Arabidopsis thaliana: one gene and its partners. The protein of the gene in region 1 purifies or fractionates together with the protein of each later gene. This does not show direct contact. Each region holds a gene or a part of one and is shown in the gene's direction. Other genes may lie near its edges.

What was found.
Region 2: the proteins of CYCD3;1 (region 1) and AT5G58150 purify together in Arabidopsis thaliana (affinity purification with mass spectrometry, with the first as the bait; one large-scale study listed by BioGRID). This does not show direct contact.
Region 3: the proteins of CYCD3;1 (region 1) and RBP45A purify together in Arabidopsis thaliana (affinity purification with mass spectrometry, with the first as the bait; one large-scale study listed by BioGRID). This does not show direct contact.
Region 4: the proteins of CYCD3;1 (region 1) and GCD1 purify together in Arabidopsis thaliana (affinity purification with mass spectrometry, with the first as the bait; one large-scale study listed by BioGRID). This does not show direct contact.

Annotation. Positions count from the first base shown.
Region 1 is NC_003075.7:16,354,288-16,361,057, forward strand, and holds CYCD3;1 (CYCLIN D3;1), read left to right. Parts: upstream 1-3,133; 5' UTR 3,134-3,615; coding exon 3,616-4,089; intron 4,090-4,178; coding exon 4,179-4,380; intron 4,381-4,489; coding exon 4,490-4,620; intron 4,621-4,693; coding exon 4,694-5,017; 3' UTR 5,018-5,278; downstream 5,279-6,770. Other genes in the region: AT4G34150 (Calcium-dependent lipid-binding (CaLB domain) family protein), read left to right, coding at 748-793, 900-1,004, 1,112-1,238, 1,330-1,401, 2,091-2,136, 2,222-2,531, 2,631-2,668. UniProt on the Arabidopsis thaliana protein: Involved in the control of the cell cycle at the G1/S (start) transition. Activates the G1/S phase transition in response to cytokinin hormone signal, but declines in response to sucrose starvation leading to G1 arrest.
Region 2 is NC_003076.8:23,528,416-23,535,707, reverse strand, and holds AT5G58150 (Leucine-rich repeat protein kinase family protein), read left to right. Parts: upstream 1-2,867; 5' UTR 2,868-3,134; coding exon 3,135-5,492; 3' UTR 5,493-5,627; downstream 5,628-7,292. Other genes in the region: AT5G58160 (actin binding protein), read right to left, coding at 1-462, 556-774, 992-1,692, 1,912-1,984; PHOT2 (phototropin 2), read right to left, coding at 5,715-5,837, 5,922-6,062, 6,143-6,255, 6,340-6,391, 6,490-6,612, 6,690-6,796, 6,933-6,982, 7,198-7,292.
Region 3 is NC_003076.8:22,293,645-22,301,352, forward strand, and holds RBP45A (RNA-binding protein 45A), read left to right. Parts: upstream 1-1,724; 5' UTR 1,725-1,767; coding exon 1,768-2,022; intron 2,023-2,170; coding exon 2,171-2,639; intron 2,640-3,681; coding exon 3,682-3,740; intron 3,741-3,828; coding exon 3,829-3,959; intron 3,960-4,039; coding exon 4,040-4,133; intron 4,134-4,236; coding exon 4,237-4,389; intron 4,390-4,479; coding exon 4,480-4,482; 3' UTR 4,483-4,751; downstream 4,752-7,708. Other genes in the region: AT5G54890 (RNA-binding CRS1 / YhbY (CRM) domain-containing protein), read left to right, coding at 1-200, 437-564, 641-866, 951-1,078, 1,170-1,265; AT5G54910 (DEA(D/H)-box RNA helicase family protein), read right to left, coding at 5,024-5,346, 5,443-5,594, 5,688-6,100, 6,181-6,336, 6,416-6,607, 6,725-7,048, 7,309-7,584, 7,692-7,708. UniProt on the Arabidopsis thaliana protein: Heterogeneous nuclear ribonucleoprotein (hnRNP)-protein binding the poly(A) tail of mRNA and probably involved in some steps of pre-mRNA maturation.
Region 4 is NC_003076.8:25,009,671-25,017,062, forward strand, and holds GCD1 (ribosomal protein L20), read left to right. Parts: upstream 1-2,286; 5' UTR 2,287-2,405; intron 2,406-2,515; 5' UTR 2,516-2,556; coding exon 2,557-3,305; intron 3,306-3,543; coding exon 3,544-3,733; intron 3,734-4,124; coding exon 4,125-4,326; coding exon of another isoform or gene 4,327-4,337; exon of another isoform or gene 4,338-4,694; coding exon 4,695-4,816; 3' UTR 4,817-5,142; downstream 5,143-7,392. Other genes in the region: AT5G62260 (AT hook motif DNA-binding family protein), read left to right, coding at 1-90, 607-689, 807-938, 1,026-1,187, 1,271-1,678. UniProt on the Arabidopsis thaliana protein: Essential for fertility (male and female gametophyte functions and development). Required for the integrity of female gametic mitochondria. Modulates male gametophyte functions, including pollen tube growth and style penetration.

The DNA of each region.
Region 1 (6,770 bases):
CGGATTTATGGTCCATTTTCTCTTGGTCGACAATTTTTTGAAATGGCGCGACGTTGAACAAAAATTATACGAACAAAGAAAGCTATTTCCAGGTTACTGCCTTTATATTTGGATGACTTGTTCCAAGGGGAAACTTTTTTTTTTTTTGTCTGTCATCTGATGATATTAGAACTTTCAAAGGAACCAAGATGATTGCAACAGCTACACTGTAATCTATAACCATCATGCCATTGGACGCATCCTAGTAAATACATAAGAAAGACACTCCCTTTATTTTGGTCTCCGTTCTTCAGCCACACCTTATAATATCATCCACAAGATAATAAGTGGTGTCTAGCAAATAACAAAGCGAAGCTATATCTATATTTATTTACTTATTGATTGTCGTGAATCTATCTTTAATGGTGACATGCCATAGAATTATCACTATTGTGTGGTTGTGCTTGTAATTGTTTGTAAAAATTTTGATTTTATGAATCAAAGATTATCAACATCTAGACTTTAATAGTTAAGGAAATAATAATATTTAAAAAACGCGTACCTAAATCTAATGAAAAGTCAAAATTACGGTCAACGCCTTACGAGACGCGTCTGGTTCTTGAAAGCAAGTTCTGCGTTATTTCATCATCAATCAAAGTCGCCATTTTATTTTTATTTAAAGTCTCACGTCACGGAATTATCTCTCTGAATTCATCATCTTCATCATTACCTTCTTTTTCTCAATCTCGATTGTTTTCTTCCAAATTCATGTCGATGATGGCGGGTATACAAGGCCAGATTCTCGAGGTCACTGGTTCGTACCTTTCTCACATCCCCAATTCTATTATGTTCTTCAACCTTATCTATGATCCGTTGAAATGTTAACTTTTAAAATTTCTGGGATTCTTTTGATTTGTCAGTTGTTGGGTGCCAGAAATTGAAAGACACGGAATGGTTTTCAAGACAAGATCCATACGTCGTCCTTGAGTATGGTGGCAGAAGTCACCGTACCAGAACCTGCACAGGTTATTTTTAATACCACCTCTTTTATTCATAATTTGTTCAGATCCAGAAAAAATTGAACAAAGTTAAGATCTTTCAATGAATTTGATTGATGGGTTTGTTTTTTCAGATGGTGGAAAGAACGCTGTTTTCCAAGAGAAGTTTATCTTCACTTTGATTGAAGGGCTTAGGGATCTTAAGGTTGCTGTCTGGAATAGCAACACTCTCTCCACTGATGACTTCATTGGCAATGCAACGTATGTGTCACTTCTTATCATTGCCTTGTTATGCTTTTTAATACCCGCTTTGGATTTGGAATTGAGTCTTTTGTTGTTTGGTTGTTATTAGGATTCAATTGCAGAAAGTTCTTTCTCAGGAATACGACGACTGTACCTGGACTTTGCAGAGTAAAACTGGGAGGTAATTACATTGGCTTTACTAGTTTTTGTTCCTTTTCCATTAAGTATCATGTTTGGTAATCTCGATTATTGCATGGTTCACATTTGTCTAGCTGATTTTGGTGCAACTTTTTGATGTGGTTTCTACTATATAGTGCTTGAATATATAGTTTCGCCAGTTGCTTTGCTTTGCTTTGCTTTGTTCTTGTCATTTACTTACAGTGCTGACATGGTTTTGCTCACTGATCAGAGTCGTTATGTGTGTTTTTGTGTCCTAAATTGTTAATCTGTGTGAACTACTTGTTCGAATGTTCTGTTTCTACATTGAGCACACTCACAATTGATGTAGCATTTTGATTAGGTTTCTCTGGAACTTATGAAAGATAACTAGACATTTTGACATAAATGGAGCTTCTATTGTCTGTTGTTAGGTTACCTCAGTAAAGAGATGTGAAGTTGCGTTTAAACATTGTAGCATCAAATTAGAATTTCTTAAAACTGGTCTCTTGAGGTATTCCATTTTTGTTTTTGAAAAAGAGAAAGTTATGTGTTTTTTAATCCATGGCTATGTGTTTTGTTTTCTTAAATTCCTGGAAAATCGGTTACAATGTGCCAAGATTTTGGTAGCTTGTCCTCAGCGATTGCTCCTTGTAAAAGATTACTTTTTTGATTAAAAGCCTTGTGAAAAACATCAACCTTTCTGTCTTGTAGATTCGCTGGAGAAGTACAACTCCTACTGCATTATGCGGGAGCAAAGGTAAGTCGAGCCTCAATTAGCAACATTGGTTAACATGTTCCATTATAAACAAAAGGCTAAACACACAATCCACTCTTGTATGCAGAAACATAATTACGGGTCTGCGCCATCAGCACCGTATGCACCTCACGTACCTCAATACTCAGCACCGCCTTCTGCATCTCCGTATTCAACAGCACCACCATACTCTGGACCATCTCTATACCCACAAGTACAACAATACCCTCAGCCATCAGGATACCCTCCAGCTTCAGGGTATCCTCCTCAGCCATCTGCCTATCCACCTCCCTCAACCTCGGGCTACCCTCCGATCCCTTCAGCTTACCCACCTCCTCCGCCATCCTCAGCTTACCCTCCTCAACCATACCCTCCGCAACCATCATATTACCCACAAGGTACCTTCCTTTCTTTCCTGTTCTATGCTGCAATTGATCGCATTTGCTTGTCTCTAACTATAGTCAGTGGTGGTTGATCTTTTTTCTTCTTGTTTCCAGGTCCATATCCAGGACAATACCCACCTCCTCCATACTAGAGCGTTTGGCGTTTAGAATTTGACGGGAAGTGGTCATGATGTATAGATTATAGTTATGGTGTTTTCTAGAATTTGGCAGACGAATTTCTTTGTTTTGTTTTTTTTATATCATCTTCCTTGTGCTATTGCTAGCGTGATGGTTAATTTTTGAGTTGGTCAGTGAAACTTATTGAGAAGTTTGGATCTTTTCATGTTTAACCAGATCGCAGATTATATTGAATTATTACTCTAAATCCTTGGTTTTGTGTGTTCATCATCCTCTTGAGTTAAAATTATGTTAAAAACAAAAAAAGGTTTTGGTTCTGTCTTTAACTTTAAGAAACGGAACTTATCGGCGTATAATCATCGCACTTGTGATCAGATGCAATTAGAAAAAGGTTATTTGGTCAATGTATAGCAATATCTTTAGGTTCTAACAAAAACATTATTGTTGACAAATAGCCCAAAAGTAGTAGAATTTAGCCGACAGATTTTACTGCACTTTGGTTTCTCGATCTCTACTCCAAATGAGTAAAAAGTGGGTAAAGCGGGAAACAGCAAAAGAAATCACACATTTAATAAAAAATAAAGAAAAAGAAATTCCACATTAAATAATCACAACAAGAAAAACAAATAATATATTAGTAAAAGACAAACGTAAAAACCATCTCTCGGCCTTCTCTCATAAATCAATCTCTCTTCTTATCACTCTCCGAAACCCACTTCCAGCTTTTTCCTCTCTCTTTCTCTCTCTAGTCTCTCTTTTGTAGCTCTCCCCTGCTAAGCTAACCACTGCACGTTTCCATAGAGAGGAAAGATGAGTCTCTCTCCGAGAGATTTTCTCTCTATCATCTTATCTTCTTCCGTGTAATGCTCTGAGCCAAAACCCAATAACTAAATCAACAACAATATAGAAGAGAAGAGAAAGATCTTATCTTTCTTCTCATTCTTGAGTTTAGTCCCCCACAATGGCGATTCGGAAGGAGGAAGAAAGTAGAGAAGAACAGAGCAATTCGTTTCTTCTTGATGCTCTCTACTGCGAAGAAGAGAAATGGGACGATGAAGGAGAAGAAGTTGAAGAAAACTCTTCCTTGTCTTCTTCTTCTTCTCCATTCGTTGTTTTGCAACAAGATTTGTTCTGGGAAGATGAAGATCTGGTTACACTCTTCTCCAAAGAAGAAGAACAAGGACTCAGCTGTCTCGATGATGTTTATCTTTCCACGGATCGAAAAGAAGCTGTTGGTTGGATTCTGAGAGTCAACGCTCATTATGGCTTCTCTACTTTAGCAGCTGTTTTAGCCATAACTTATCTCGATAAGTTCATCTGTAGCTACAGCTTACAGAGAGACAAACCATGGATGCTTCAGCTCGTTTCTGTCGCGTGTCTCTCATTAGCTGCTAAAGTCGAAGAAACCCAAGTCCCTCTTCTTCTAGACTTTCAAGTAAATGATGATACTTGCAATAAATTTCCTTAAAGTTTAAGTCTTTTATCCCTCTGTTCTCATCTCTCTGTTTTTTTGGGGGTTTGCAGGTGGAGGAGACAAAGTATGTGTTTGAAGCAAAAACCATACAGAGAATGGAGCTACTGATTCTGTCTACTCTCGAGTGGAAGATGCATCTCATTACTCCAATTTCGTTCGTAGACCACATTATCAGGAGATTGGGACTTAAGAACAATGCTCACTGGGATTTCCTCAACAAATGCCACCGTCTCCTCCTCTCTGTAATCTCCGGTTCGTAAACGACAAAAAGAAAAAAGCCACTCCATTTCGTTTTACCATCTGCTGAATCTGAGTAATCATCTTACATTCTTGTCTTATCTTCCTCAATTGTCTTTGTCAGATTCAAGATTTGTCGGGTACCTCCCATCAGTAGTTGCCGCAGCTACCATGATGCGAATTATAGAGCAAGTTGATCCCTTTGACCCTCTTTCATACCAAACTAATCTCCTCGGTGTCCTTAACTTAACCAAGGTTAGCTTCTCTAATCATCTCTCTACTTGTTTTCACTCAGTCATTTTCTCAAACAACTCTCGTGCATTAACAGGAAAAGGTGAAAACTTGCTACGATCTAATCCTCCAACTACCAGTGGACCGCATCGGTTTACAGATCCAAATCCAATCTTCCAAGAAACGCAAGAGTCACGATTCATCATCATCGTTGAACAGTCCAAGCTGCGTGATTGATGCAAACCCTTTCAATAGCGACGAAAGCTCAAACGATTCGTGGTCAGCGAGTTCGTGCAACCCACCAACGTCGTCGTCGTCCCCGCAGCAACAACCTCCATTGAAGAAGATGAGAGGAGCTGAAGAGAATGAGAAGAAGAAGCCGATTTTGCATCTGCCATGGGCAATCGTAGCCACTCCATAATCGAAAGCTCGATTTCGTTTATATGATATTTACTGTTTTTTTAAACTTTGAGAACAATCTTTGTTGTATTAAGCTTTACCCGTTTGCATATACGAAATGTCGCGAATGCCCTTACGTGCCATGGCTTGATAGAGTTAATGGGTAAAGGGTATTCATGACATTTGACTGCATGGGATGTGACGAAGGAGAGAATTAGAAATAATAATAATAATATTGCGTAAATTTTGAGGCTTGCCCAATCTTTGGGCCGTAATCTCCGGCGTTATTCATATTTTATTAATGTTTTATATTATGAGTAGTAGTATGTTCTAAAATCTGCTTTGCTGAAGGAAATAATAATTACATACATATTCTTTTACTCCTGTAGTTTAGGAAAGAAAAAAACGCATTTAAATCCGTGCTATTTGATAACTACATTTTTTTCGTCCAGAATGGTGGATAATACAAAATTTAAGAAATGAGATGTCACAATGTTTTAATATTTGAATGAGACTGTTGTGTTTATGATCGAAAGTGAAAGATTTAGCGTTTTTAGCTTTGACTTTTGGGAGAAGAGCCAATTGTTGCTGCTTTTTTTGTCAGTCTTTAAATATAATCGCTTTCAAAGATGAATCAATAATTAAAATTTTAAAACGGAAAGACAAAAATGAAAACGTAACACTATATTATTGCTTTAGATTTTTTGTCTAAAGTCTTGTCAAAACCTGCTCTACACTATATTATTGCGTATCAAATAACTAACTACACATGAACATGTAAGTTGTCGAAAATAACAACATATAATTATAAATGTTTTTAAAAATCAAACAGCGAAACTTAAATCAAATCTACAGAGTGTAGATCTTTCGTTGACCAGTAGATAAATTAACTGCGACAGACAGACACAGGACAAGAAGGAGGAAGTGAAGTAAACGCGCCATATATAGGTGAGTGTTGTTCGACGACGATAAAAATGTGGTGCAGCATTAGTAACAACACCAGAACCAAAGTAACCTGCTTCCACTCTGAGCACCTGGGATTAAGACACGTGGCAAAAAGTATCCAGCGTTACTATTCTTTTTTTCTTTTAATAACATCAAATAATCGTCAATTAATTACGAAAATTGAAGATATTAAATTTAACAATTTACTATTATAAAATCCCTTTTGTATCACGGAAAAGCTTATATGATAATGCGATTGAATCACGAGAAATTGATTTTTTTTTTTTAAACAAAACTTTAGGTTGTGTGAAAATCTTGGCTCCTTCTTTTACACTTTTTCTTTTCCAATTTTATTTTCTCTTTGGACTTTTTATTTATTTATTTTCTTGGCAATAAAAAAAGAGAATTTAAATCTATAACTTTTTTCACGTGTGACACGAATTTTCTACTTTGGGGGATTCAGATTCATCGTTCTTTTTCCTTTATATTCTCAATTTCATTTCGCTACTTAGAAAAAAAACGAATTGCTTTAGCTGATGTCGTTTCTTAACGCTCAGCCTCACGTCATCAAAGCATTTAAACTCCCCTCGTTCATGTAATCTTACATTAATACGTATGCGTAATGCGTTTATGTATTGTTTAAAACAAAAGATCCGTTCTCTAACTTCAACTAAAAAGTTAACATCCATGCATATGTATTAGAATATCAAATTAAGCACAAATATTAACATGTTAGCAAAAACATGACTCTTTATTTCTACAATATGTATATCGACTTTTAATCACAAGTTTACTGGCTGTAGAAAATAGGTATATTTGTGTATATACGA
Region 2 (7,292 bases), on another chromosome or scaffold:
AGGGGACTCTTGATGTAACAACTTTGTTGCATCCTCGCTGGCGTTTTGTTCCTGATTATTTATCTGAAGGACAGAATGTACATCTTCTGCTATAAACTTCTTGACTGAATCAGTAGGAGGCTTTTCTGGTGTGTCGATTGTTTCAACCTCGGACATTGAAGACAATTTGAACTTTGCACTATTTTCAATTGCTGCATGCTTCATAATATCATGGATACTTTTAGGGCTTAACCCTTGTAGTCTTGGGCTTGAATTACCATCTAGTCCTTCTTGGACAGCATTTGCAATGGCTAACTGCTGAAACATATTGCGTGTGGCATCTGTCTGATCAACCCAATCAACTTGATTGAAGAACTCATGAACTTTGGAAAAAACTTCTATTGGAAGACCATCTTTCTCTTCCAAGGAAGAAAAATTCATCAAGTCAACAGAAGAGGCAGCATCCATATCTGAGAAGAGAAGCTTCACACAGAAAGTACTCTTTGTGAGTACTAAGTTACAATGGAGTAGCTATATGTACCATGTAAAGAGAATATGAGCTCCATGAGTACATACCTCAACTCTGAACCCCTTTGGGAATTCTTTTATATGCCATAATGTGTCGACTTCATCACGGTTAAGCATCAAAATGTTTGATCTAATAAAAGCAGTGTTAAAAACCACTCGAAACATCATGACCTCTCTTTCCATGTCATCGTTCAAACTAAGGCACTCGATCACGATATCACCTTGCACATGACAATTAATGTCAATCTTGACTAGTTCACATTCTGCCTGCAAAACACAAAGAGTTGAGTAAACAACATCGAAAAGCCATTAAATCATATTGCAAACAAGGAAAAAGAAAGCTAAGAAGCACAAGAAACAGAAAACCAACAGGGCTAATCAGTGATCAAATATATTTCTTTTTCTAAGACCTTCAGATGCAATGTAACACAGGCTGAGTCAGAGGTCATAATTATAAGAACGCTATGAATATTCTGAGAAATACCTGCTTGTAGACCCTCAGGTGTTTCCCTTTCTTGGGAGTAGTGTACAAAAGCTTAGGCTTTTTATCATCAACAAAAAAGGGATCCTGACCATATATTCGAAACATAGGGCGAAAGCCTCCTTGTCCACTAACATCAGGAATAAATCTCAAAATAACACAATCCATGGTGAGAGCCCTATCCAATGGAGGCCATTCAGAGACCAAATTCCTTCTTGACACGTACTGTAGATAACGAAGCTGAGAAGGAATTGGGTTCAAGGGCGAGAACAAACGCAGAAGCTCACGCGGAGCCTGCTTGTAGATCATGTCCAAAGTCTTAGACTCACCACTATACTGCTTCCTGTATATAAGGAGGGCAGCTAGCATAAAAGCTAAAACAGGCCAAGCCCCACTTTCACAATGCATTAGTAACAAGTTATTTGGCCCAAGCGAGAGCCAACTTTCACTTGACCGGAGAAAATGATGCATCACTTCCACAGGTAACAATGAGCAGCCTTCGTAGTGCCGAGGATAATCCATTATAGTCAAGCCATGTTCAGATAAGACATCAGCCATCACACTTCGAGTACCCACTTCACGGAAATTAAACACAAGAGAAGATGCTTCAGGGAAATGCTCTTGTAGTTGATTGACTACTCCTGCCATATAAACTTTGTAGTTTTCTTCTTCCCATGAATCGGTAGAGAAGCAGCAATCGAACACTGCAACACACACAGAAGAAACTTTTTTCAGTTCAATGTGTTTTTTGCCAATCATGATAAAATGAAATTTCATATCTTGATTTGTAAAACTCCCAAATTTCAGACAAATTAGCGTAAAAAGTCCCAACTTTTCAGACACTCAATCCCAGAAGACCGAACAAGTACAATGAGCTAAGGAAAAATAGATAAATGAAGCAGAGAATTGGGAGAGAAACAGACCGAAAACTCTGTCGCATATCTCGAGCAAACCATCTGGAGGCTTGCGGTAGAACAATTTGCGAAACAATGCCATTTTATCAAAGTCTTAAAACCTCTCTTCGAATTTCAAAAATCGACAACTTTTGAGTTTTCGTTTGATTACAGAATTTGTAGCGAAAGATGCTCCTTTTTGGTATGAATCTGTTAAGGTGATGTTGATTGATCTTCGAACAGAGGAAAAGGTCAGCTGGCGCGTTGTATGACGTGGATCCCACGATCAGCCGCCAACTCTCTACCCGACCTGACACGTGTCTTCTCATCTACGGACGAACCGGCATTTATCTCTCGGCCCATTTAATTCCTCTTAATGGGCTTTTCCTTTTCGGCGCACAAGTTGTGATATCTCGACTCTGTTTTGCTAGCATTGTTTCTTCATTCTCTCTAATTGCAAGTTTCAGTCTTTGAATCCGATGAAACTCAGATAGCTATTGGAGCTCTGTTTTAGCATAAGATTGCTTAAAATAGTGAGTGGCTATTTTTATCCAGAAAATGAGCTATGAATCTGATGAGTTGGTTTAAACTACATTGATGGCTCTTGTTTTTATTTTCTCTTATTTGCGGACATTAAGGCGCCAGTTTAGGGGCTAATCAGAGGAATGAATGATTCTCAATTTCCAAGGTATCTGTGACAGAGTCAAAAAAGTGTGAAAACCCCTAAAAAAGTGAATTTTTACATTAATAACCAAAACACTACTGAAATGAGAAACCACAACAACCACCCACTCCTCCACTCACCAAATCCATTGACAACTTTGGGATTTGGAAAAATTCACAAAAGGTCTGAGACAGATTCCATTTATCATATTTTTCTTATAACTCACTAGCGAAATACTTTACCTAATTATAATCTCCACATATCCCTTTTTTTGACTTTCAACGACTCTCTCTTCTCTTCCCACTTTCTCCAGTGTCCATATACGATACAACCAAAAACTCAACTCTCAACTCCGGAACTCCCCCAAACTATTCAACTCTTATCTTCTTCTTCTGAAATTTCATAGCTTTCTGACTAAAAGTTCTGATTTTTTTTGAAGCTGTGCACGTGAAAGGGATTTCAATGTATTCTAAACTATCATCACCTCTATGCCCCGTGATTCCATTATGTCTTTTCTTCTTTTCACACAGTCTGTCTTCTTTCTGAGCTTTCCCATCCAACTTTCTCCAGTCCCAGACACCACCAAGTTATGAGGTTGTCTCTATGGGGATCTCTCCTGTTCTTCTCCTTCTTCGTCAAGCATCTGACGAGCCTAGATCCCAACACCGACGCTTATCATCTCTCTAGCTTCTTCTCCGCAATGAGATTACCCAATTCTCCCCAAGCTCATACGTTTTCTTCCTTGTGTTCATGGCCAGGAGTGGTCGTCTGTGACTCTAGTGAGAATGTGTTGCATATTTCGGCTTCTGGGTTGGACCTGTCTGGTTCGATCCCCGACAACACTATTGGCAAAATGAGTAAGCTCCAAACTTTAGATCTCAGTGGAAACAAGATTACGTCTCTCCCCTCGGATTTGTGGAGTCTCAGCTTGCTTGAGAGTCTCAATCTCTCCTCCAACCGGATTTCTGAGCCTCTTCCCAGCAACATCGGCAATTTCATGTCGCTTCACACCCTTGATCTTTCTTTCAACAGCATCTCTGGCAAAATCCCTGCCGCAATAAGCAACCTTGTCAATCTAACAACTCTCAAGCTCCACAACAATGACTTTCAGTTTGGCGTCCCTCCAGAACTTGTCCATTGCCGATCTCTACTCTCCATCGACCTCTCATCCAACCGCCTCAACGAGTCTCTGCCTGTCGGTTTTGGTTCAGCTTTCCCACTACTAAAAAGCTTGAACCTTTCACGAAATCTGTTTCAGGGTTCATTGATAGGAGTCTTGCATGAAAACGTGGAAACAGTTGATCTCAGTGAAAACCGATTTGATGGGCATATCTTGCAGTTAATACCCGGCCACAAACACAACTGGTCTAGTCTGATTCATCTTGACTTGTCCGATAATAGCTTTGTCGGCCATATATTCAATGGTTTGAGTTCAGCTCACAAGCTGGGACACCTTAACCTCGCGTGCAATCGATTCAGGGCACAAGAGTTCCCAGAAATCGGCAAGCTTTCTGCGCTACATTATCTGAATCTATCAAGGACCAATCTCACTAATATCATTCCGCGTGAAATCTCGCGGCTGAGTCATCTGAAGGTTCTTGATCTCTCCTCCAATAATCTCACTGGCCACGTGCCTATGCTGAGCGTCAAGAACATTGAAGTACTTGATCTCTCGTTGAATAAGCTAGACGGAGATATCCCAAGGCCGCTTTTGGAGAAACTCGCCATGATGCAAAGGTTTAACTTCTCTTTCAACAATCTAACCTTTTGCAACCCCAACTTCTCCCAAGAAACAATCCAGAGATCCTTCATTAATATTAGAAACAACTGCCCCTTCGCTGCAAAGCCAATTATTACAAAAGGAAAGAAAGTCAACAAGAAGAATACAGGGCTTAAGATTGGTTTGGGGTTAGCAATCTCCATGGCGTTCTTACTTATAGGACTACTGCTCATACTTGTAGCCTTGAGAGTTAGAAGAAAATCAAGAACTTGGGCAACAAAGCTAGCCATAAACAACACAGAACCCAACTCCCCAGACCAACACGACTCAACCACTGATATCAAGCAAGCAACGCAAATCCCTGTGGTAATGATCGACAAGCCATTAATGAAAATGACGCTTGCAGACCTAAAGGCTGCGACTTTCAACTTCGACAGAGGCACAATGTTGTGGGAAGGCAAGTCTGGTCCTACTTACGGAGCAGTCTTACCCGGTGGATTCAGAGCAGCTCTAAAAGTTATCCCAAGTGGAACCACATTGACTGATACTGAAGTCTCGATTGCATTTGAACGTCTCGCTAGGATCAATCACCCAAATCTTTTCCCGCTCTGTGGATACTGTATAGCGACAGAGCAAAGAATTGCAATCTACGAGGACTTAGACATGGTTAATTTGCAAAGTCTACTCCATAACAACGGAGATGATTCTGCACCTTGGAGACTTCGGCATAAGATAGCTTTGGGGACAGCGAGGGCATTAGCTTTCCTTCACCATGGCTGCATTCCTCCAATGGTCCACGGAGAAGTGAAGGCTGCAACAATCTTGTTAGACTCTAGCCAGGAGCCACGCTTAGCAGACTTTGGTTTAGTTAAACTCTTGGACGAGCAATTTCCCGGTTCCGAAAGTTTAGACGGGTACACACCACCGGAACAGGAGCGAAATGCTTCTCCGACATTAGAATCCGATGTGTATAGCTTTGGAGTTGTTTTGCTTGAGCTCGTGAGTGGGAAGAAGCCGGAGGGTGACTTGGTGAATTGGGTGAGAGGGTTGGTGAGGCAGGGACAAGGATTGAGAGCCATTGATCCGACGATGCAAGAGACAGTTCCGGAGGATGAAATCGCGGAGGCGGTGAAGATAGGGTACTTGTGTACCGCCGATCTGCCATGGAAGCGACCTACGATGCAGCAGGTGGTTGGACTTCTCAAAGACATTTCTCCCAACTACTAGTGGGCTAGTTATGGGCCTCATAATGGGCTTATCACACTTAACATGAATATTAACATGGCTCTTAAGTTTGTATGTTTATTGTTGTTGATTAGAAGAAATGGAAAAACATGAAAAGAGCCGTTTATATTTAAGCAACTACAAGTACAACAACACCTTGGCTTTTATTGAGAAGAAGAGTTTTGCATAATTTGAGAATCAAAGGCAGAGAGAGGAAGAATAGGATTAGAAGAGGTCAATGTCCAAGTCCGTAGAATTCACAAGCACTCCATCATCTTCCCACTTTATATCTTTGGCATTCGGATCTTTTTCGATTATGCTCAACGGTGCATCCAGTGGTGGAGGACTCTGTATGCAATCACTCTATTATATCAGCCAACAACAAACACGGAAAAGGCTGATTGATATAAAAATAACGATTATTAGTCCTACCATGCCTCGTATGAGAGGCCAATTGATCCCGCGAAAGAAAGCATGCTGCTTTATCTCATTTGCCCCACCTTTGGATCCTAACCGACTGCTCGGATCTCTATTTAACAACGTGTTGATCAACTGTCTACCTACAAGACTCACCTGCACAAACACATATGGTTAGATTAGTATTTTTTTTACTTTGGGAAAGACACACAGGTTGTTGTTACAAGGTAGCTCACAGGGATACTGCTGGGGAAAGTGAGATCTTTGTGCAAGATGTTGGCAAATGTCTTTTGCCTATTCTTACCCCTGAAAGGTGTGCGACCATAAAGCATCTCATACAACAAGATACCTACAACAAACACACATAAAAGGAGATGAGCATATTAATAACAGTTTGTGATCAAAATAAGGTAAAGATAGTGGCAGATTATACCCAGTGCCCACCAATCAATAGCACTTGTATGACCAGCACCCGTGATTATCTCCTGAAATAATTAAGTAAACCATGAATAAACTGAAACACAATGAGATGCAGCTGTAATTGAAGATTGCAAGAGATAAAACGTTAAATGCATCACTATACAGGCGCAATGTATTCTTCAGTTCCTACGAACGAGTTTGACTGGGTACTTGGTTCTGCAACAAATGTGGGTAGTGGTTGACTTTTGGATCTCCTTCGTTTGCTAGGTGCAGCTGGAATAATAAGCTGCAAACCATACTTCTCTTAATTATCATATTTCTTTATATGCCAATAGAAAATGGTAGAGTTGAACAAAAAAGTACCTGGGGTGTGCAGGTCGTCATGAATGATAAATCAAAGTCAGCCAATACTATGTGTCCATCCTTCTTGAGCAGTATATTCTCAGGCTTCAGGTCTCGATATACAATTCCTGTTTATGGAAAATATATACAGATCTTTAACCGAAACAACAGCTAAAAAATTATTGGAAGAAGAGACTACTCAAGGCATGTGGCAATGTATAAATAAGCAATGTTTAGATCAACAGAGACAATGATTATTATTACCTAAGCAGTGAAGATATTCTAAGCCGATAACAACCTCTGCTGCATAGAACCTGATGACAGAGATTGATCAGATTAACTCATAACTGCAGATATAATAATGACAATGGGATTTATTGCCTTCATCAGTTATCCGAGTAACCGCTAACTGAATGCTTGCTAGAAGGTGATATGTTTTCTTGCTAACATAGTGCCCCTATTTAGTTAAAACATCACCAGGAGATCTTCTGTTACACATTATACGTTTAGATTGAGGAAAAGAGGGAACCTTGCAGAGTCTTCTGTCAATATTTTCATAGGTTGTCTGTCAAGTAGTGCAAACAACTCTCCACCTGGGCAGAAGTCTGTAATCAAACAGACGTG
Region 3 (7,708 bases), on another chromosome or scaffold:
GAAACGGTTCTCTCCATTTGGACCGGGTCGATTGGACCGGAAATGGACTGGGACTACCGCACTGGCGTCGCCGGAGATTGATCAGAGTCAATGGGTGGAGGAGAGAGCAAGAGTTCTCGGCGAGACTTTGACAGAGGATGAAGTTACAGAGCTTATTGAACGGTATCGGCATAGTGACTGTACACGACAGATTAATCTCGGTACAATTTTGAATCTTTTGCCTAAGTTTTTTAGCTTTGAAATTAGTTTGCTTGATCAAATCGAATCGTCTTCAAAGTTAAGAGCTTTCGTCATCGTTGATGTTGCAGATTCACTAGTGGTAGAAACTTCTTTGTGTTGACATCACTTGTAGATTTGTGGTCTTGATGATGATCATGTTGTGATATAATCAAATTATGTGATTGGTCTCTTCTTATAAACTTTGTGATGTTATCAGGGAAAGGTGGTGTGACTCACAATATGATAGATGATATTCATAACCATTGGAAGAAAGCTGAGGCAGTGAGGATCAAATGCTTGGGAGTACCAACTCTTGACATGGACAACATATGTTTCCACCTCGAGGTGTCTATTATTAGATCTCCAGAACACGGCTCTGTTTTTCTTTCGGTTGATCTTACTATAGTTGTGTTCTTGATAGGAAAAATCCGGTGGAAAGATTGTATACAGAAACATAAACATTCTAGTTTTGTACCGGGGAAGGAATTATGATCCGAAGAGTCGTCCCATCATTCCACTCATGTTATGGAAGCCTCATCCGCCAATATACCCAAGACTTGTAAAGAATGTGGCTGATGGGTTAGAATTTGAAGAGACCAAGGAGATGAGAAATCGTGGGCTTCATTCTCCTGCCTTAATGAAACTTAGTAAGTAGTATATACATCGTCAAGTTCTTTGTCATTTTTCTAGTATTTCCTCGTTTTTGATTGGCGGATTGTATTGTGATTCAGCTAGGAATGGTGTTTATGTTAATGTCGTTGGAAGAGTGAGGGAAGAGTTTGAAACAGAAGAGATTGTGAGACTAGATTGCACTCATGTTGGGATGAGTGACTGCAAACGAATTGGTGTGAAACTAAAGGTATAATAAACTGTAAATGGTTTGCTTGTCTTATATTGTCTGTCAGATTCTCTAGAATTGATCTATCTTGATGCTGTGATCAAAATTGCAGGAGATGGTTCCATGTGTTCCCATATTGTTCAAAGATGAGCAGATCATACTCTGGAGAGGGAAGAGGACTGGTGAAGAAGAGCTTGTTACTCTATGAATCTTTGATCTAGAATCATGATCATGTGAGTGATGTGACCTGAACAAATCCAACTGTAGACCAAAACTTCTTCATCGATACAACAGATACTAAAGTTTCACATGTCTCAGAAGTAGTCATAGATACAACAATCTTGGTTGATTTGTATATTCGATTATGTACTTCGGTTTGATTTATTGAACTAAAATTGGATCAGTCCAAAATTGTTCTTTATGAAATTGACTAATTTTATTTTATTTTTTTGATTAAGTTCATAATTTGATTTTTAGAGTAATCCAATTTACTGTTCTGTTGTCATCATTCTTACCTTAGAACACTAACCATGTTCAATTACTCAATATCATGGCCCGGTTCAAAACCAAACCGGTCAATGGTAGAACAACTAATGGGCTGATATAAAAATTGGGCCTATAAAAAAGCCTACAACTGTATATCATAACTATAAAAATGCTTTATTTTCGAAGCGAAAGTTTAGGTTTTGGTTTTTTTGTCCGTCGTAGTGATGCAGCAACCACCGTCAAACGCCGCCGGAGCTGGACAGATACCATCAGGACAACAGCATTTGTGGATGATGATGCAACAGCAGCAGCAGCAGCAGCAGATGCAGTTGTCTGCGGCGCCACTAGGTCAACATCAGTACGGTATTGGATCTCAGAATCCAGGATCCGCTAGCGATGTTAAGTCGTTGTGGATCGGAGACTTGCAGCAATGGATGGACGAGAACTACATCATGAGCGTCTTTGCTCAGTCTGGCGAGGTAATTTTACTTGACTGTTTATCAAAATCGAGATGAACATAGTCTTTTGCTTATCATGTAGAAGATTGATTAAGTATTGTTCTTTGCAATATAAATCTTCATTTTTTATGGTTAGTGAATACTTGGTGTTTTTGTTTGGTGGTTTCAGGCTACATCAGCTAAAGTCATTCGTAATAAGCTGACGGGACAATCTGAAGGTTATGGATTCATTGAGTTCGTCAGCCACTCTGTAGCAGAGCGGGTTTTGCAGACTTACAATGGTGCTCCCATGCCGAGCACTGAACAGACGTTTAGGCTCAACTGGGCTCAGGCTGGGGCTGGAGAGAAACGATTCCAGACTGAAGGGCCTGACCATACCATTTTCGTAGGTGACTTGGCACCTGAGGTGACTGACTATATGCTCTCGGACACATTCAAGAATGTGTATGGGTCTGTCAAAGGGGCTAAAGTTGTGCTTGACAGGACCACTGGAAGGTCCAAGGGGTATGGGTTTGTTAGGTTTGCGGATGAAAATGAGCAGATGCGTGCCATGACTGAAATGAATGGTCAATACTGCTCGACAAGGCCTATGCGTATTGGTCCGGCTGCCAATAAGAATGCTCTTCCGATGCAACCAGGTATGTTTTATTATGTAGGAACTGTGTATATTGAGTATGTTGAAAGTTGATATGAAGTTTGTTTGTGTTTGTTTAACCTTCTATGTTGAGCATTATATTTGAGTGTCTTTTTGGGTGCTGTATTTCTCTCTGATCAGTTTAGTTTCTTCTTTCAATTAGTGCTCAAAGATTAAGAGTTCTCATCTGCTCTTTTTCCTTTCGGTTTTGGATTTTCTGCAAAATAAATTTTGATATCGTAAAGCATCCAAAAACTTATAAAGATCAGCTCATGTTGTCTTAAAGCAGGAGAACAAGTGGCTCTCTTTGGGGGAGCCTGGAACTGATTTCAGCTGAAAATGATACCACTTTAATGCGTGGCCTCATTTAGGTCAGTCGGTTATGTTATCAGAAGAAGTTACATATAAGTGGCTATTATTAGCCTACAGTTTCAAATTACTTTCCAGTTCCTTACTTATATCACTTAGACATATTTATTTTGAGCCTTTTACCTTCAAATTCATTCTTTTTATATTCCGTAGCTCATTTTTCCCCTTATTTTATTTTCACCTTTACCTAAAGGCTAAAAGTTAATACTTCTTCTCTATGCAGACTGTTGCCAGTATTTTTTCATCTTTTGACAATAGTTTTCCTCTCTAGATTTATACTATTAAACGTTGGCCAAGGAGTTGTTATGTAAGTTGATTACTAGGAACTTCTAATATTGAAGAAATTTAGATGTAGGATGAAGAGTTTGCTTTCGTTATTCTATGCTTCGGCGTTAAGTCTCACATGGACCGTTTGATATGTGCTTAACGATTTGTACATCAATAATCAACTGACTTCAGATTTTTCTGATCTTGATCTCTGTATGTTATTTGGTTTCTTTGCTGGTATCTTCTTAGGTGTTGATGTGAATGATTTTTGCAAACGTTGTTTGAGTGAACTGTCTGTTGTTCTGCAGTTTAGTTTTGTAGTTTTCTCACCATGTCGAGTGGGGCGTTATGCAGTATCCATAGAAATTTTATAGCCATCTCTCTTGAGCTCACCCATCTGTTATTTGCAGCTATGTATCAAAACACTCAAGGAGCAAATGCTGGAGATAATGATCCTAATAACACAACAGTATGTCGCTAGTTTTCGTTTGTTATTCTCCAAAATCTTTAGTCTGTTGTTTTTGATAGACTGCAAGTTTAACGCGTTCTACTTTCAGATTTTTGTTGGAGGTCTGGATGCTAATGTTACAGACGATGAATTAAAGTCAATTTTTGGTCAATTTGGTGAACTTCTTCATGTGAAAATACCTCCAGGAAAACGTTGTGGATTCGTTCAATATGCCAACAAGTATAAAACATCATATCAGCCATTCATTATGAATTCCATTTTTTCTTGCTTACTTCATTATTCTCTTTGTTGTGCTTCAGGGCGTCTGCAGAGCATGCACTTTCGGTGCTGAATGGAACACAATTAGGTGGACAAAGCATCCGTCTTTCGTGGGGACGTAGTCCAAACAAGCAGGTTAGCTTGTTACCTGTTCTCCCACAATTTCTCAAATCTATACGTTTCAATCTTATTAGTGATATTATGAGCAAAATCATAACTTAAAACTTTGTCGTCACAGTCTGATCAAGCGCAATGGAACGGTGGTGGATACTATGGATACCCTCCACAGCCACAGGGCGGCTATGGTTATGCAGCTCAACCACCAACTCAAGACCCTAATGCGTACTATGGTGGTTACACTGGCTATGGCAACTATCAGCAGCAACGTCAGGTAACTCAATAACACTAATAAACAAGAATAATATTTTAAGATATGCATCATGTGAATATGTTCTTACCTTTCTTGTTTTTGCAATTGCAGTGAAACATCAACATCAGCTATTTCTACCAATGTCTTGGAACAAAAGATGAGCGATTGTGTCTTATTAGGACTTCTAGATTAAAAGTGCTCTCTTTTTGTTTGAGTTTTATTTTGCAAATGAGTCGATCTTGAATTTGCTATGAACAAAGTGTTTACTGAATGTTGAAACTTTATTCTGTTGTTTTTTAAAATAAATATTTATCCAAAATCAATCGTATTTACCACTTGCTATTGGTCAAACGGCTCAAACCTATAGAGATTTGGTTAAAGATGCACTCCCAAGTTTAAAAGAGTCCATGGCCTGATAGAAAATCTTGTTATAAAACTTATCTGATTACTGCCAAAAATTGATATATTATGGAATTTACGAAAGAAGATGTAAATTTTCTTCATCGCCTAATACAACAAACAAACCAAAAGCTAAAATGCAAATCCTTCTTTTCCTCATAGTAAGACGGTAACAAACGTGCAATCGTTAGGTGGAAACAAATCACAAAATTTTCCACAGAACTGATGTAAATTAACTACACGAATTAAGATCTTATCATTGCGTTATGAATTTGAGAGCCATTTCTTCAAGATCAGCTACGGAAAGAGAATCTGTATTGATTTTTCCTCCATTTTCTTCATTGTCAGAGACGATTTTCTTTGCTCTTTTGCTGTTTCTTCCAGTTTCATCATCTGATGATCCAGAACCATCATGGTCTTCTTCTTCTTCTTCTTCTTCATCCTCCATGGCTCCTCTCTTCCTCTTAATCTTCTGTTTCATTCTCTTTTCCCTCCTCCTTTCCTTGTCTACTTTCTTGTCCTCTATATCAGCTTTCCTCATTTCCGCTCCCACTTTCTTATAGTAATCATTCATTCTCTCTGCAAAATTCAACAACCAATTTACACATGCTTTTTTAAAAACTGATTCATTGCTCGTTTGTGTGAACAGGATAATAGGGATTCATGTTCCTTTACCTTCATCAAGGGCTACTTCAGTCCCTGCTTCAGCAGCTACACTTGCTAAGGGAGCCAAAGAATTGCCTTCCTCATCAAGCACAACCCTCGACCCAAATGGTCTGTGTAGATTGATCTTCAGCTTCTTGTTTTTCAAAACACGATTTCCTGGTCTGAAAATTCAACAGAATTTATACACATAATTAAGCGTGAAAAGACTGGATCGAATGAATGGAAAAAATGTTAACGGAATGCGAAAACCATACATGAGAACTTCTTCTTCCTTGGTTGATTTTTCTACTACTTTGCCCTCTTTACGTGGCTTGAGAGCAAAATCCTCTTCTTCTAAATCTTCACCAAGAAGATCTTTTTTGACAACCAGAGGTGCTTCATATTCCTGTGCATTCTCAATCTCCATAGCGATAGAACTCTCATATACCCCCTTTTTCTTCGTTTTAAGGTTTGTGAATCGGATTCTGGGAGTCATTGGCAGACCAAGTGAAGCAGAAAAGTTTTCAATCGACAGCTTTGACACATCAAAAATCTCTTTGTCCCTTCTTTTGTGGATGGACCTCAAATATGTGATGAAGGCTCTCTGAGCAACACCTTGAAGATCTGGATACTTGACTAACAAAGCAGCCAAGAGCCTAGAAACCTCCTGCAACTTTTGGTTGTTTGCCTGTGTGACAAATTTTTTTACAGTCAAATGTTTCCAACCACAGTCGAAACTCAAAGAAAATTGAGGACGGGAGCTACTACCTTGATGAGTTTTATAGGCACTTTAGCTTCTTGTAATTTCTCAATCATTTTTTCCTCTGAAGGTGTCAGAAAGAGGAGCGACTTCCCTTGAGTATAGAAACGAGCTGTACGCCCAACCCGGTGAATATAAGAAGCTACATCTTCAGGACAATCCACCTATAAAATAAATATGATGACATCACACTTCAGCCCGACAAGATCATAGAGTTTTGTAATTCTGGATGTGGATTCATACCTGAACAACCCAGTCCACAGCCTTATCAAAATCAAGACCTCTAGCAAGAACATCAGTACAGAACAGAACTGATTGTCTCTCAATGAACTGAGAGTACACTCCCATCCTTTTTTCCTGACTCATTTTTCCATGAAGACTCTTCAAAGGTATTCCAGGCCGGAGCTTGTTGAATGCTTCATGCACAAATTTGACCTGCCAGGATTGTGATCCGTTTGTCAATCTCAAGATAGAAGAAAGTGGCAGAATGAAAGTGAACACACTATCTCCATGTAGATTATTCAAAGAGGAAGAGAGGTAATATAATATAACCTGTTTCTTGGTGGAGAGGAAAACAAGAATCCTGGAATTAAGGTGAGTTTTGATGAAACTCCATAACATGTCTAATTTCTTTTCAACTGGGACAATCATCACAGTCTGCATCAAGGAAGTTGGAGTAGCTGTAACCGCCTCTGCATGTACACTAATGTACTCAGGATCTCTCAAACTGAGTCTTGCTAGATCCTTGACTTTCTTAGTTTGAGTTGCAGAGAAAAGCAAAGTTTGTCTGTGCTTAGGCAACTGTGAGATTATAGGATCCAACTGCCCCTTGAACGCAGAATCAAGGACACGGTCGGCCTCATCTAAAATCAGAATCTGCAGCAAAAGAGAACACTTACTAGGCATTTGTAAACAATAAGACTGAAGAAATTTGGCAGACAGAAACATAGTCGAAGTGGTTTTACGGTATCCTTATTTGCAAATATAACCATCCTAATGTTCATAAACGTGTAGGAGAAAGGCATCATGGACAAGTATTATAGAGTTAACAACACAAAATGCCCAAATGTTCTGTAGCTGAAACATTTCATTAAAATAAGGATAGTGAAAACATAAACAAATATGGTCATCATTACCTGAAGCTGTGGACATTCGAAGTTTGGAGTCTCATCCATGTGCTGAAGAAGCCTACCAGGAGCACACACCAAAATATTCATCTCATGAACTCTCTCCTTCTCAACATCAACTCCTTCACGACCACCAATTAAGAGCCCCGCACTAAACTTATGAAACTTTCCTACTTTATTCAAAACACCGAATGTCTGGGCTGCCAATTCCCTTGTTGGAGATATAATTATACATCCCACACCATCTTCAGGACTCCATCTCTCCCTATGTAACTTCTCCAGAATCTAAAACACACAAAAATAATCCATTAGCATCTATCAAAAATCAAAGCTGATCAAGATACAAAGCTACACACACAGCAATAAACTCTATCGAAAAATCGAAACTTTACCGGAATAACAAAAGCCA
Region 4 (7,392 bases), on another chromosome or scaffold:
ATTATCAATGGAAACGAGGCAAAGCTCAGCAGCAGCATCAGCCTCTTGAGTTCGTCAAGAAATCTCACAAATTCGAGTATGGAAGCCCAGGTAATTAAAAGTTGAGATATTTGTGTTTGAACTGTTTGCATTGGTTTCAGTGAGACAAGATCTGATCTGGGTTTCGAGTGATTTTATGTTGTTGTGTGGATTTTTGAGATGTTGGGAAGTGGGACCAACATAACTGGATTTTGCTGGGTACACTTTTGTCTGAAGAAGCTATTACACTCAGACCAGTTAGAGACAGAGAAAGGGAATCTGCTGATGCTGACCAAACAAAAACAGAAATAAAAAGAAGATTTTGTCTTTAAAAAAAAAAATACAAAGACAGAATAATCTCTGTCTCTTCCTTTTTATCTTAGAAGATAAGTATGTCTAGTTGTGATTATAAGTTGTTTAGCAGATCTTACGATTTCTCATTATCTGTTTTAATTACTGTGTGAATAAAAAGAGATTTAGATTATTAGTTGGTCTTTGTTTTGAATCATGGAGTTAGTTGCTTGAGGATTAGGATTAATTAATTAGCTGATTAGACTAATGCAAACTCTGTTTTACTATCTCTTGCAGCTCCTACTCCTCCTCTTCCTGGGCTCTCATGCTATGTGGGTGCAAATTTTACGACCCATCAATTTACTGTCAATGGCGGTGAGGTAATAAATTTCCCACAGAGGATTCTTTTGTTTTCTTTCTTCAACACGGTGCTTGTAACTCAAGCTTTGGTATTAAATTCTATCAGTCTTTGTTTGAGAATTTCTTGTTTTGATCAGGATGTGACAATGAAGGTTATGCCGTATTCGCAACAAGGATCTCGAGCTATCTGCATTCTTTCTGCAACTGGTTCGATCTCTAATGTCACTCTTGGTCAACCTACCAATGCAGGTGGCACTCTTACATATGAGGTAACAAAACATTGAATCAAATTTCGTTAGTACCTCGTTTTGAAATATATATCGAGTAAAACTGTTATGTGTTTTTTCTTTTCTAAGGGTCGGTTTGAGATACTATCGCTATCTGGTTCCTTTATGCCTACTGAAAATGGAGGAACAAAAGGTCGGGCTGGTGGGATGAGCATTTCTTTAGCCGGACCAAATGGCAATATATTTGGTGGTGGCCTTGCCGGTATGCTTATAGCAGCTGGTCCTGTTCAGGTGACACGATTTGATTACATGAATGAAACATATTTACAGATTCAGGAGTATAGAAAACTCTAAAGTCTTATAATATGTGACAGGTGGTAATGGGAAGTTTCATTGTGATGCATCAAGCAGAACAAAATCAGAAGAAGAAACCTAGAGTTATGGAGGCTTTTGCTCCACCACAACCACAAGCACCACCACAACTGCAACAACAACAACCTCCTACTTTTACCATAACAACCGTGAATTCAACTTCTCCTTCGGTGAACACCGTAGAGGAGCAGAAACCACAAGCTTATGGTGGTGGTATAGTGAGACCGATGGCTCAAATGCCTTCTTCTTTCCAAAACGACAATTCAACTATGAACAATTTCACACCGGCCTATCATGGATACGGGAATATGAACACTGGTACTACTCACAAAGAAGAACATGAAGACGAAGATGGTGGTGATGATGATGATGATTCAGGCGATACTAGGAGCCAATCTCATAGTGGTTGAGCAATTCTCTGATCAAAGTCAGAAAGTTTTCTTGTGTAGAAAGGAAGGGAGCTTAAAGGAGTGCTTTTTTTTAGAGGGTTGTTTTAGTTGTGTGAGGGTTTTCTTCTTTTGTGTGCTTTTCTAATTTCTAGGGTTATTCTTCTTTGTGATCGGTTTAGATTTAATCATGTCGAAGTCATAGACTAAACGATGTTCTTATTGTTGAGGTCATTGGGATTCAAATTTAGTAAGACTTTTGTGATATGGTTCATATTCTTGCAAAGTCCATTCATAAGATTCACTACAAACAAATGTTTTTGATGTATAATACAAAGTAGGAGTACTATAAAATCCTACCTGTGATTCATCATTATTTGTCTATGTCATTAAAACATTCATCAGTTTAAAAATTGCTTCAAGTCTAGATCGTGCGTAATTGCAAAAGTCTATATAATTTCTGTTCCACATACACAGACTCATCAGTGGATTCTGGGTTTAAATTGTAACAAATAAAAAGTCAAGATACAAAAGGAAGTGAGCATAACTAAAGCAAAACAACTATAAGGTGATATTTAAAATAAATAAAGAAATATAGGGGTTAAAACATAAATACAAACTCTTCGCTAATTCTCAAAACCCTTCCCTTTCCTTTATCGCAGTCGTAACTGGCCTCCGTTGGTCTCTATCGTGACTCCCTTCACGCCATTAATTCCGATTAATCGGAGCTTCGACTTCTCATCTTCCTTGGGTAACTCGCTCTACCTTATCTTCATGTAATCAAAATTCGAACTTTTTGTCTGTGTGTTTTAGTTGTTTATTGGGTAAGTTACTAGATCTTCTCTTTCGATTTTGTTTCAGCGTTCGTGCGATTCAACGTTTGATTTGAAGAATCAGTAGCAATGTATAACCTTAGTAGGATCATTTATCGTTTCTCCTCGGTTTCACTTAACCCTAGCACGAGAGCATCTGGGTTTCTACTTGAGAACGCTTCATCAAAAATCTTACAATCTGCTACGAATCGAGCATTTTCTGCAAAATCAGGATCTGATGGAGTTGGAGGCGATGATAACGGCTGGAATATTTCAACAGGAGGATCATTTGGTGGTACAGGATCTGCTGATCTTGATTGGGACAATAAATCTATGTGGTCTACTGGTTTAACTAAGGAGCATTTCGATGGTGTCTCCGTTGGTCGTCAGAAGAACGCGGCGAATCCTTCTTCTGATAACACCCCTTCTGATTCGGGTGATGTAATGAGCAAATTGGGTCCAAAGGAGGTAGCTTTGGTTAATGAAATGAATGAGTATGATGATTTGCTTAAAGAGATTGAGCAAGATAATAGGCAAGGCAGGGCTTTTGTTGATGGGATTAAACAGAGAATGATGGAGATCAGTGTGTTGTTGAAGCAAGTTAAAGAGCCAGGTGCTAGAGGGTCTTATCTTAAGGACTCTGAGAAGACTGAGATGTATAGATTGCACAAAGAGAATCCTGAGGTGTATACTATTGAGAGGCTTGCTAAGGATTATAGGATTATGAGGCAGCGTGTTCACGCCATTCTTTTTCTTAAAGAAGATGAAGAAGAAGAGGAGAGGAAGCTTGGTCGTCCTTTGGATGATTCTGTTGACCGTTTGCTTGATGAGTACCCTGAGTAAGTTACTTTACATGGACTAGTATTTCTATACCTTGGTATAATGTTACTTCAGTTTTACATGAATTGAAATGGAGTAACTGTGTGTACTCTCTTTTATTTAGTCTTCTTTATAGCCAAAATAGTTAAGGTAGTTGGATCTAGCATTGTTAGTGAACGATCATGATGCAAACTTGAATAGGTTGCGGATTATGTGGCTTCGTCTTCCTTTAACCCTCATTTTGATATTGGTATACAGGTTCTTCATTTCGCATGACCGGGAATTTCATGTGGCCTCACTTAATTACAAACCCGACTTCAAGGTCATGCCAGAAGGATGGGATGGTACAATCAAAGATATGGATGAAGTCCATTATGAGATCTCAAAGAAAGAGGATGACATGCTTTACGAAGAATTTGTCCGAAGGTTTGAGTTCAACAAAATGAAAGTAAGGCCCTTCTTTTGCCCACTTGAGTATGCATTGACTTAGTAAACCATTACTACATTTGGTCTATTGAGACATTTTCCCATCCATATGTTAATTATCAAGTGACCTGCTTGCAACTTAGAAGGAAAACTTGAGACTAGATGCAAGTTTGGAACCCTCTATTCTAAATTTGGTAACTTGTAAAATAACCTTGAAAGATTGAAAGTAATAATGGTATTGCAACTTGCTTGTGGATTGTTTAAAAGGTTATTGGTTTGAATAGATCCACGCCTTTTGATTGATATATAACATCAGCGTTCCTGCTTGAGTTCTTGCTGAGTTATTAGACGTTCTTTGGTCATTTCTCCTTGGTGATAACAAACGTTACTTTACCTTTTGCTCTCTAAACCAGTGGAGAGGAGAAGTGATGTGCCACAAGTACAGCAGGAGACGTTCATCAGAGGGATGGAAAATCACGGTTGAGAAATTGGGTGCTAAGGGCAAACGTGGAGCCGGAGGTGGCTGGAAGTTTATGAGTCTTCCAGATGGATCAAGCCGACCACTCAACGAAATGGAGAAGGTCTATGTTAAGCGTGAAACCCCACTACGTCGCCGTAAGATCTAGACTCCATCAATGGTTATATCAGGATGGGAATGTTATGTCTCCTGTGGGTTCTTGTTTGATTCTGATTTTGCTTCTGTTTGATCTTAAGTTGAATAGAATAAGATGGGTAGCTTTTGTTTTTCGTTTAGCTCTCTCTAACTTTATCAGTGAGGTTCAAATAAATCATAAGACACAGTGTTGTTTTAATAGAATCATGATCTTGTATTAGAATTCTCTGTTATGTTTAAGAAGGTTCCTTCATCGTTTGAAACGAATTGAAAGATGATTTAGAGAATCTTGTCCTAATTTGTTGTGGTATGTTAAAAGTTGTGGTGCGTTTGGCAAAGCTAAAATAAAAGTATGTTTGTTTTTGTCTAGGAAGCATTATATCAACGGAGGTGATGCGTTACTCGCCCGCGAACCAGAAGCGGAGGTCGAAGCGGAAACAGAAGCGGAAGGAGAGGCGCATAGCATGTCTCAAAGCCGGTAAGCAAACGTGATTCCAAAAATGAGGTGTTTTGGAAGCGTAGTGAAACCACATGACTCTAGTTTGGAAACGTTGGTGGTGTGGATCGGAAGCGTCGATGGTGACTTGCAATTCTAATTTTGGGTTTATAATTTGTTTTGTGGCCCAACTTACCTTGGTCACCATAAGCATTTAATGTTTGGTATTTTAGGTTATTTCATTTTTGCTAATATATTCAAACAAACATATAAAATAAAAAGACAAATCACCACCCATGATATTAAAAAAAAAACACTAATAAAAGATGATGTCTCCTGGAATGGTCGACGCAGAATCTGTAGCCACTCACTGTTCTTTATCGTTGTCTCCTCCTCAACATTATCCCAATCCCACGTTCGCTTAATTTTTTAATTTTTAGGTTGGATTTTATTTTTCATCAACCATATAAAATCATTGAATAGACCCATTCTTTTATCCCAACCTTTGAATTCTTTACCTCCTCCCACTTACAATTATTCGAGATTTAGTTTGAATACATGTATACTTCCGGTGATTTGATCTTGGTCGGAAAAAACAATCTTTTACGACTTTTCTGAAGTATGTCGCGACGATAAAGACTATTGAGGATTCATGTCTACGTCTACGGTTTCAAAATGTCTTATAATGTCTACTGTGTAGTACATGCATCGAACTCCAATTATACCTACACGTACGTATTTAATAAAGTTTTGTGCTATTTAAATTTGTATACGATCTAAACATTTCTAATGTATTTTGAACGTCGGACCAGTAAAATATATGAAATCGATCGAATGTAGTAGAATTTAGAAGTTCTCTAAATATTTGTTTTGCTATTTTTTGTTATGTTTTTGTCAAACTTTTGATATTTTTCTTTCTTATCTCTTTGTTCATGATCTACAATTATCAAATCAACCAATAGGAACTGTTTCGAGTTGCACTTGGACCACAATATCCCACACTAAATTAAAACTTGAACCAGATCAAAATCTCTTCGGACCTTTGCCCTTTGGACCAGTTCGGTCCAATTTAACCTTTCAATACCCTTATCTTGATAGAGTACTATAAAGAAATAATAATGACAGATGCATGAAACTAGTTCAAGTGGAAAAAGCATCGTGCACTGATATATCTTCATCAATTGCAAGAACATGTCTCAATAAACCCAAAACTATTCAAACATTTTTTCTGAATCATATCTATCAGCATGGGACACTGTGGCTCTTTGTGCCTTTGGATTCAACGCATCCTTCACAATCTTTTTTTTGTAACTGCATCTCATTATCGCATTAGTAGCAATCACCACCTATATGAAATACCTCTTTATATGTATATGATATCGATTTAAAAGTATTTAGTAAAAATCGATTAATGTTTTCTACAATAAGATTAGTCAGACGCGATTGCCAAATCCATAAATCCAAAAAGAATTATATAGCAATTGATATACTATTACTATAGGATATATTATAGAGTGGATATGTTTCACCATAAGCTTAACATTAATTTCTCAATCTTGGTTTGCACAATGATTAATGCATAATTAGATTAAGTGTATATGAAGCTTCATGGAAACCCGTACGTGAGAGGACGGTCACTAGATTGTACAATCAAGAACGTAATATATATATATCCATTAATCTAAACCGTACGTTGTAGCTAATTAGTTTTGTGAAATCGAGAATCTAATCTTGTAAGAAAAACTGTAGGCTTGTTGTCAGAACAAACATGGACCCATGTTCTCTATGTCCCTAAGATGTGTACCAATCTCAATTCACTTCTTTTGTTGCACTATTTTTTAAAAAATAACTTTTATTTTATATTTTGAGATCTCCATTGCCCCTGCTGCACTAGACATTACAGCTCATTTTTTCCTTATAATTCAATCCCTAGCTATTTTTCTTTCTTATTAGTTTAAACTAATCATATTTGGGTAATTAGCGTTGAAACTATCTATCATATCAATTTTAATGATACATATGCAATACTTTATGTGAGTATATGCATGTATGCATGTTCCAACATCCAGATTAATGACTAACGTTTAAGCCCTGATTTTTTCAGAGAAATTTTGTGTTGTACCTATGTTTGTATTACACACAATATTTACCATTGTTTAACATGTACACATGTGTTTATAAATCTCCGTACACTATAATGCATATTTGAACCATATATGACAGAAAGTTTTCCACTAGTTCTAATTACATTTTGTTGCCCTTTCCTACTCGTCTATTGCCTATAGAAATATTATTTTAGTTATGATTAAGAATTGGGATGCACATTCCGAAATTAATTATTAAATGCCACTATGAAGAACCCTTGAACATAGTCTAATTCAATTTTAAGATCATAAGGAACATTAACAGTGACAATAGCTAAGGTCTCTCGACAATGAGACAATCCGCTTTTTAAATATATACATATAAGAGATACCATATTGTATACATATGCAGATACAATTACAACTTGACCAAATTTATTCAATTTCTCCTTCTCTTTATATCAATAAGAAACTATTCATGATACTGGACCAGCCTGTTTGAATCTTGTCCCATCCACAAATCTCCCAATATATAAATAAAGAACCTT